2 linked regions of the Caenorhabditis elegans genome follow. The protein of the gene in region 2 interacts with the protein of the main gene of each other region in a biochemical or structural test. Each region holds a gene or a part of one and is shown on either strand. Other genes may lie near its edges.

Evidence for each region.
Region 1: of the proteins of egl-6 (region 2) and flp-17, one has a biochemical effect on the other in vitro, tested with the Caenorhabditis elegans proteins (2 studies listed by BioGRID, with this or other methods).

What each region holds. Positions count from the first base shown.
Region 1 is NC_003282.8:17,189,359-17,193,799, reverse strand, and holds flp-17 (FMRF-Like Peptide), read left to right. Parts: upstream 1-1,908; coding exon 1,909-2,092; intron 2,093-2,287; exon of another isoform or gene 2,288-2,308; intron 2,309-2,469; exon of another isoform or gene 2,470-2,493; intron 2,494-2,850; exon of another isoform or gene 2,851-2,871; intron 2,872-3,006; coding exon 3,007-3,107; intron 3,108-3,153; coding exon 3,154-3,261; 3' UTR 3,262-3,596; downstream 3,597-4,441. Other genes in the region: C52D10.3 (DUF4140 domain-containing protein), read right to left, coding at 4,153-4,344.
Region 2 is NC_003284.9:5,930,525-5,935,444, forward strand, and holds egl-6 (G-protein coupled receptors family 1 profile domain-containing protein), read left to right. Parts: upstream 1-2,061; 5' UTR 2,062-2,243; coding exon 2,244-2,422; intron 2,423-2,474; coding exon 2,475-2,588; intron 2,589-2,635; coding exon 2,636-2,712; intron 2,713-2,763; coding exon 2,764-2,930; intron 2,931-2,981; coding exon 2,982-3,317; intron 3,318-3,419; coding exon 3,420-3,642; intron 3,643-3,751; coding exon 3,752-3,843; 3' UTR 3,844-4,008; downstream 4,009-4,920.

The DNA of each region.
Region 1 (4,441 bases), on a different chromosome or scaffold from region 2:
ATTGAATTTCTCGATTTTTTTTCGGAACCTGCAAGGATGTAGAAAAATGATTCTTACAAAGTTCTAAAAATTTGAACATACTTTTGAAAATTTTACTGTTTCCCATTATCTATTTAGGTTTGTAACTTATACAGAATTCAATGTTATAGATCCATCAATTTCAAATAAAACGGAACAAATCGTTTAAATAAATAAAATCACTGTTTCAGGTGGTTTATTTTAAAATATGTTTTACTTACATTAGGAAACACTTGTTACAACGAGTGATTTTTATATTGGCAAATTATTATTGTTTCAGTATAACCAGCCATATTTGTAGCATTCGTTGAAACAGGAAAAAAAATTCAAAAATAAAACCGGCAAAATGTCTCTTAATCCATCATTCATTCATTCAATTCTGCATTTTCCGAAATTTTTCGGAGATTTCCGAAAAAGGGGCGGAGCTTACATTTTTTCATGAAAATTTACTTTTAAATTTATTGAAGAGCATTAAAAAAACAGCTTGTATGTTTAGTAGTTTTTTCTCTGATTGATTTTAAAAGTTTTTATTTTAATTTTTAAATAAAACAAATAGGCAGCGTTTCATTGGAAATATGAAAACGTTAATATTCCAAGCGTTTTATATTAGAAATTCTAGAAGAGAACTGTCTTGGCCAAAAAAAAGTATCAAAACAGTTTACAGTTTCGAAAAATTTGGAATAAGTTTCAAGTAACAGAACATTTTTAAAATATTCGGTTTCAACAAAAAATTTTATTTGTTTTTTTTTGTTTCAAAAGTGTCAAATAATCTCTCGTTCATTATGCAAACTGGAAAACGAAATATGCCTTAAAATTGTGAAAAAAAAGTTATATACTGAAAGCATATAAATTAAGTATCCATCAGGTTCTAAAAACTGCTTAATTTTTTCCAAAATGCGTTTTTTATTGAAAAAGACAATGTTATTATTTTTCGAATAGTTATTAAATGTTTTTTGTTAATCGGAATTTTTAATACGTACTTCACAAAATATTCCAAATAATTACAGTACGTTAGCTTTGAATATATGTTCGAAAACCGTCTTCTAATCCATCATTCATTCAAATTTTGAGAAATAATTTTCCGAAATATCACGGAGTTTGCGAAAAATGGAGCGGGCTTGAACTTTTTTAAAGTATTTACAAAAATTATTATTTATTGCTTCCTTGGGGGTATTTGCAAAATAAATTATTTTTCGGGATTTTTCATAATGCCTACCGCTATGTTGCTTACCTGCTTTATGACATTCCACTACTAACACTCCCGCCTGCCTGATAGCTACTCATATATCTACCTACCTGCCTACCTGGTGCCTCTATGCCTAACTATTGCCTTTCTTCATTTCGACGGTAACTCGGAGTTTTGATATTTGCTCAGTGTAGCTACCAACACCTTTTTAAAGATTTAAATCAAAAAATATAGAAATTATTTTTCGGCAGTAGGCATGTGGTAGGCAAGCACATTCGTGACAAGTTGATTCACCAAAAACATCATCAGACCAAATCTGGGCGGAGCTTGAGCATTCCACCTTTACGTCCGTGTTCTCGGCACGTTTTCAACGAGGCGTGCTCAGCTCCGGATACCGTATCCGATTTCTCAGAAGCCTCTAAGTTTCCCGTGCTTTCTTGTCAAATTGATTAGGAAATGATTCGGATTTTCTGAATTTTTGAAAGATTTTTCGGTTTTTTCAGTGATTTCAATCGGAAATTCGGAGCCGGAAATGCATTAGGAAGGGGCTAATAGCTATAAATTGACACGGGAAATTCAGATTTTTCATTCATTTTTCACACATTTTCTGTTACTTTTTCTCAATGATTTTTTTGTGTTTCCATTTTTTTTCCTTTAAAAAAATTCTGTGTGGAAATATTTTCCGCAAAACTTTATTTTTCCAGATGCTCTCCAAACTAGTGCTCACCACTTGTTTGTTGCTCACAATTTCGGGATCCTCCCAGGCCGCTTCAATGGAGGAAATTCAGTCGGAAAAGTTTTGCGAGAAGTTCCCAACACTCCACATGTGCCGACTGAAAGAAGAGCTGACAGGCAGTTTGGTCGAGTTACAGTATCTTTTGCAAGATGGTGAGTCGGCTGGAATATTTTTTTTAGTTGGACGTTGTTCGATAGTTCCTCTAGTTTGAGAGATTTAATGGAAAATGTGAAATTTCTTGAAAAAAATAGTTGTGAAAAGTATAGATTTTTTAGGATTAGAGCACAATATTAAAATTGTAAATCATGAGTGATAGAAATTCGACTTTTTTTCTTTTTTATTGGTAGTTTTATAGAAAAACGTTACTAATGAATTCAAACTCTCAAGTCGTTATTTCTCGTTTTCGTAAAACGGAAAAAAACATTAATTTTAACGTTTAATTTTAATTTATCACGTTCTCTTGAAGAATCTTAATTTTATTTTACCGTTTCAAGCCTTTCATAAAGATGGTAATGTTTCCTCATTCTAATGATGACTCTGTAACGTCGCATTTCAGAGAATATAGAAATATTTCAATTTTTAGTCCGTGAAAACAACCATGATAATAATAAAACGAATTTTTTTTTAAGTTCGTGACTACTTCGGTCACATTTGAAAATTTTTCGTAGCAGCAAAAAAATGTCTCGTTGTTTAAAATTATTAATATTATCCCACCGCAGATTTTTTTAGGTTTAGAGCATTTTTTTAGAGCTCAGAGCATTTTTAGAGCATTTATGTAGGTCGGGTCTGTCATCCAAATAAAATAAGAAAACGATGAAAAAAAGCTATGAAAAAGTCAAATTTCAACCTAATTTTTCTGAACCTTTTTTCATTTTCTATTTTGAAATTCTACTTTTTTTCGCATATAAATTTGGTAATTGAAAAGAATTGACTGTGAGACCCCTAAAAATGAAAAATGTTACAAAACATTTGAAACAGTGAACTTTTTTTTTGAAATTTTTTACAGCATCATTCCCGGAGCTATTCTACTAAAGAATCTTTTATAAAAAAACTTTTTAACTTTCAGGAATCAACAATCAACAGCAAGCCGGAGCTCAAGAGGTACAAAAGAGAAAGAGCGCCTTTGTCAGATTCGGAAAGAGATCTGCTCCAGAGGAAGAGGCTATGGTATGTTAAAAATCCCATTTTGTAAGCCTCCAACTTTTTTTTTCAGGAAATGGAAAAGCGTAAATCAGCGTTTGTCAGATTTGGAAGATCATTCGGAATGGAGCCACAGATTACTGAAAAAAGAAAGAGCCAGTACATTCGCTTTGGAAAATAATTTTTTTTTTTTGATTTTCAAATTCCCACCATTTATTCCTTTTTCAACCAACATTTTGAGCAACTCCTACTCTCTTGGGTACCAATATTTCTCTAAATTTACAAAAATTCACAACCCCCTGTTAAAATTCCCAGTTCGTGAATTTTCCTTCTAGTTTTTTTTCCGAGAAATCTTCCTCCGTGGGCTAATAATTTTTTTCTTTTTGGTGTGGACAACTTTTATTAATTGACTGAATGTGTTTGTCAATCGGTGTGGCGATGACACCCCAAACCTCCACAATCCTGTTTCTTGATCAGCTTGAAATTGAGATTTGAATAAAACTGACTATTTTGTTAGACTGGTGACTGCTGGAAAATGTTGTTTCAACTTTTTGATGAATTCTTATAAAAATAGCAGCTGAAAATTGATTGTGAAATTGTGTGTTTCAGAGTGTAGTTGAACGTTTGCAGCATCCTTCATCGGCCGGGTTTCAGCATAAGTGGCCGCACCCCTTAGGAGACGGACCCTGTCCAAATTTAAAATCGCGTGATCCTTGAAAATTTCGGTTACTATGTAGTTTTCAGGCATTCAGGAAGATAGTGGAGATCCAATTGACATTGAAAACTTCATGCAGAAGTAAAAACTTACTGTTTCACTTTGTTTTTATAATTTCATATACTTTTCTTTATAGTTTCTTTGTAGTTTTCTTAGAAAATAAATACGAATACTTTAATAGTCTCAATTTTTCCGAGAACAAAAAAAAACATTTATTATCATCTTTGAGACAGAACAATTGAAAGAACTAAAACCAGAGAAGAAATGTGGGTAATTTGATACAAATTGAATATTTTTAGTACTCAAAAAATACGACCAATACACAGAAACAGAAAATAAATAAATCAGGGAAAATGATTAATTAAACTTATAGGAAAGCGATTCCGAAGCCGGATGCTCAATTGTGTAGCGAACTGGGAGAAGACGATGTTGGCCGGGTGCCAAAATGACACACCATTCAAGATTATGGTCTTTGTTAAGACGAGCATCTGGTGGAGATGAGTTCTTGGAGGAAGACGAGCTTTTGATCTCCGGAGACACGATAGAAACCTGGAACTGAGAAAATTGTCTGCAAGGTCAAGGGGTGAACTCTCGGTCACTTGCTCACCAACCTAGCACACTACCACTGCGCCAATAACCCGCTTTT
Region 2 (4,920 bases):
CGGAGATTTAAAACGTCGCCTCGAGTTCGAAATGTGATTTGAAACAAACACTAAAATGTTCATCCCTCGTCCATTGTTTTCCTTGATATATTATTCTACTTGTCACTTACAAATAGACAGATCAGTGTCCGGGTTTGTCTTTTGTCTTGAAAATAGCATGAAAGAAAACATTAATTTAATTATTCAGTCAACCTTCCTTCATTTTGTAGGAGAATGACGGTGTACCGGATTCGAAAATTATTTATCTCAAGCTGCGTTCGTGTCTTTTTCAATTTTCTTTTTTTCTTTCTGCAACAATAAATTTGTCAGAATGTACTGCGAAAACCTTATATGACGGTAGACCGTGCCAGGGGAATATAAGTTCCCGAGACTAGACATTAATCATTTCTACGTACTGTTCTTGAATTTTGAACTCATTTAAGGTATGGAACTTTCTATACTCCAGAAATCTTTATATAATGCTCATGATTTAATAATTTATATAACGTCAAAAGGTTTTTCCTGATCTTTTTTCTGTTGCCTTCACCTCCGTTTCCTCACGTTTTCTTGTTCTTCTCCCTGCATAACTTTGAAAACAACACAGGTCTTTTGTTGCAGATGGAGAACATCATAGAACACAATGACAGCTTTTCAGCAATGAATGACACACTGATCTGTACATACTTCGAATGCTATATCCACATGTTTGCCATGGTGAGTTCAAAGCATTAAAATCTCGGGAGGTGGTTTTGATGACGCGTTGGAAATTTGGAAAAATTGCAAATTTGTGATAGAAGCCATAGGATCATTGTTTCAATTTTGATATTTGCCAAAGAACAGTTTAGGAAAAATTAATTGTTATCACTAATCGGAGAGCAAAATGTCTCAAGATATGAGATTAGATGTGTTGAAGCAACATTCTATTTTGAATATTCAAGAACATTGAACGTTTTTAAAGCACTTATAAACACTATTAATAGTAAAGTAACATCAGTGAAGAGGGGGGGGGGTTTGAATTTACAATCATGATAGTCTGACATGAACAAATATCATTGTGAAACACTCCAAACATTCTTAGATTTTTCAAAATATTCAGTAAAAGTTGTGGTGAATTACCAAGTTATCAAAAAGCATGGACGTTTTTTTTAAGCAACCTCAAAAGTTTGAACCCTTGAAATTTCAAATTGTATAATAGGACAAAAGTCACTGTCTAGACAAATTTACATCGAAAATATAATTTTCACTTGGTTTAAACACTTATGTGAAACTATCAAAGTTGGAGTATCATCAGTGGGAATATTATTTAATCACATTCATAATAGTCAAATATAATCGTGCAACACTTCAAAAATGCTCCGATTTTTCAAAAAATTTCAATCAAAGTTTTGGTAAATTGTCAAGTTTTCTAAAAGTTTGGACTGTTTGAGAAATTTCAAGCAACTCCGAATGTAAATTTTGGAAAATTTTGTCAAATTGGACTCGAAAAGTTTGCTATTATGATTTATTGTAGGGTACTCATGGGTTTTGTTACCCTCAAAATGTTTTAATTTTCTAAGTTACAATTAACCACAAAAACGTGAACTTTTTTGGAACGATTTGGAGAAACGAATGCTTTGTTCCGTACTTTTGTTTTTGTTTTTAATTTGAAAGGTGGAAAATTTAATTTTAGAAAATTAAAACATTTTGGGGGAACAAAACCTATCAGGACCTAATGTAGCGGCATATGAACAGTTTCAAACATTTTCCCCATTTTCGGAGTAGTGTCCCATTCCTCAAATGACCTAAATAATTCTGCAATTCTGCACGTGTACTTTGGGTGTTAGTTGCGTACGAGACTCTATTGGGAGCCGATCGTAAACCCGTTTTACGGCCTCACACTGCGAGTTAGTCTTTCAGAGACTCATCTATGTGTTTCTGACTGGGCACCAGTGAATCAGTATGGTGTCATTTGGGGGGACACGCGATGCACACAACTTGAAAAATAATTAGCTGATAGACAGGGGCACGCGCTACACAGTGGGCGGAACTTCCAACACTGATTTCACTAGATTTCCCCTTTCCCTCCCACTCCGTTTTGACTGGAACGAATATTTATTTTGTCGTCCAATTTTTCCTGCTATCTCGTTGTTAGAGATTGTCGCTGGGATAATCCGGTTGTGAATGGACGTTTGAAGCTTTTCCAGCATTTTGAACCGGAATCTTTTTTGCTTTCCCATATTTGCTTCCCTATTCGGGCTCGTTCCGAAACGTGAAAGAGTGAAAAAATGGGGAAATGGACGGAACTCGGATTGTCGGGTCGTGAAAATGCAACAAATGTCTCGTCGCGAGCCATAACTGACAAGTCCTTTTTGCAGTACTACGATGAAATTCATATTCCTCTTTCAATTTCTATCTGTATATTCGGAGCCGCTTCAAACGTCTTCAATATTATTGTGCTCACAAGGTAAGTTATATATTTCTTTATTTTTTACGGATGAATGTACCTGTTATTCCAGAAAACGGATGCGAACCCCAATAAACATCCTGCTCACAGGTCTCTCCATTGCACAATGGCTCCTAGCGACCAATTACTTCCTTTACTTATTGCTTGAGTATTATAGATATCAATGGTACGTCATGCATCAAATAAAAAAAACAATGTTCCAGTTTTTTGCAGTGTTCAATTATTATGGTCCGAAGCATTTACAAGATATAGATTCTTCAATGTCAACCTGAATACAGTATTTCATACAAGTAAGTATTTTTAGATTGGCAAGCATATTACTGTACTCAAATACTTTTCAGTTGCATTCACAACGACGATCGTTGTCGCAGTGTTTCGGTATTGTGCACTGAAGTTTCCAATTCAAGCGAATAGATTCATCTATAAATGCCAGCCAGCAATCGCAGCAAACGTTATCATTTGGATCATCATTCCTATCATCAGTCTTCCATTGTTTTTCATATCCGAGGTTTGTGTAGTTAATCTTCATATCTCGAATCTGATTTCATCTATGTTTCAGGTTAAAATTGTCGCTCGTGACCACGTTGCTTATGATTTGCAATGCGAAATGGAAGGTCCATTGTACGACCTCAGTTATCAAGAGAGTCCACTTCTCGTGTCCGCAGTTTTCTGGGCATTTGGTATTGTGTTCAAACTACTTCCGTCGTTAATTCTCTCAATACTACTCATTGCTCTTATAAGATCTTTGAAAAGCGTAGAACGAAGGCGTAAAAACTGGAAGCGTACACAAGGTGCCAACATTTGCACCAACTCCGAGAGAAAAGCAAAAAGAAAGTTGACGACCAGACCGCGCACAACACGAATGCTCGTCATCATTCTACTCCTATGTGTAATGGTTAGTCACTATTTAATGTCTGATCGTATGTGATTGCTGTATTGTTACGATTATTTATATTATTTTGTCTATGATTACCATGAAACGTATGTCTGATTCCAGGTAGAACTACCCATGGGTATTCTTAACTTGTGCGTGGCTATCTACGGTGAAGAGTTCGGAAATCGGTATTACGATCCAGTGGGAAATCTGATGGAAATGCTGACGCTGTTGTACAGCTCTGTTAGCTTCGTTCTCTATTGCACCATGTCCAATGAGTATCTCTCCACGTTCCGAGCACTATTCTTCCCATGGACCAGAAAGAATAGTTTAAGAGGAACTCGAAGTGAGTACTTTCAAACAAAATTGTAGGATGAATCATCTACTTGAGATAACTACATTTTACTCACAATTTTTTCTGACTAAAAAGTTCAATTCAAAATACAATTTTTCAGGAAGTTGGAATCATCGACATGACGACGAAACAAAGTCCCCACGAACTTTTCTGATAAATAGAACTGCGCCAAGCTCATATGTCGGGTCTTAATCTCCTTTGCGTAGTTATTCAATTCAACTATAATTCTTGATTTTTGTATTTATCCCGTTGTGAACTTCAATTCGTCTGAAAAATTTGAAAGTCACAAGTTTGAAAATGTGATTCTTGTTTATCTTGAAATCTTCCGAGAATGAATAAAACTTGTATTGTTTTACTAATATAGTGTGTTTTCTCTATTTGAACAGCTTTTAAAAGTTGGAAAACTGAAGTTTCAAAGTTAAAAATCAAAGTTATGAAAAAATAAGTGTTCAATGATTTTGTCTAATTGACTTTTTTTAAAGCAATTTTCTTTAGAATTTAAAAGTTTTCTAAAACCTTAAATATAATTTTTCAGCATACTTGTTAATTTTTTTAAATTCTAAATAGAAAAAATAGCATATTTATCTGCTACACTAACAAATTGAATCGCTTCTTAATCTATCAAAACAATAAAAATTGCAGTATTTTGAAGCGTTTGGTTTTTTTTTGTTGCAAAAAGTCTCAAGTGTTCATATCTTGACAGACAGTCTTAGCGGAATTTTTAAACGGAAAGAATAATATTTTCTGAACACCTTCAAAAGTATTCTCCTGTCAGTGAAGTTAATACGTAGACGTATAGCGATAAGAAGTTTTTGGGGTCACTTACGTAGACAATGAGTTACTACATCCCGGAATGCTTTTTTATGGGGTTATTCAAGTAGTGTCGAAAAATTAAAAAGGATAGAGAAATGACGTGACAACTGTATTAAAATTTTTCTCTGCTTCTAAACTTTCCGACACTACTTGAATAACCCAATTAATTGAAAAAATAATGGTAAATATTTTTCAGCCACTGAATTGATACGAGTTACAGTAACTCGTTATCCACATAACCAATGAAAAAAAGAATGTAATATGAACTTTTTCATACAATTCTTTGAGTTTAGCAAAAAGTGCACAGTAAAATTTCGAACGACAACTAGGATTTCAGATGGGGGTTTCAGATGTAAATTCCCCCGTAAAAAAATTTGACTCACATCAGTGTGGCTGGGTCTGAAGATAATTTGCACTGTTTTCTAGTTAGAGTAAACATGAAACAAATACTAATGA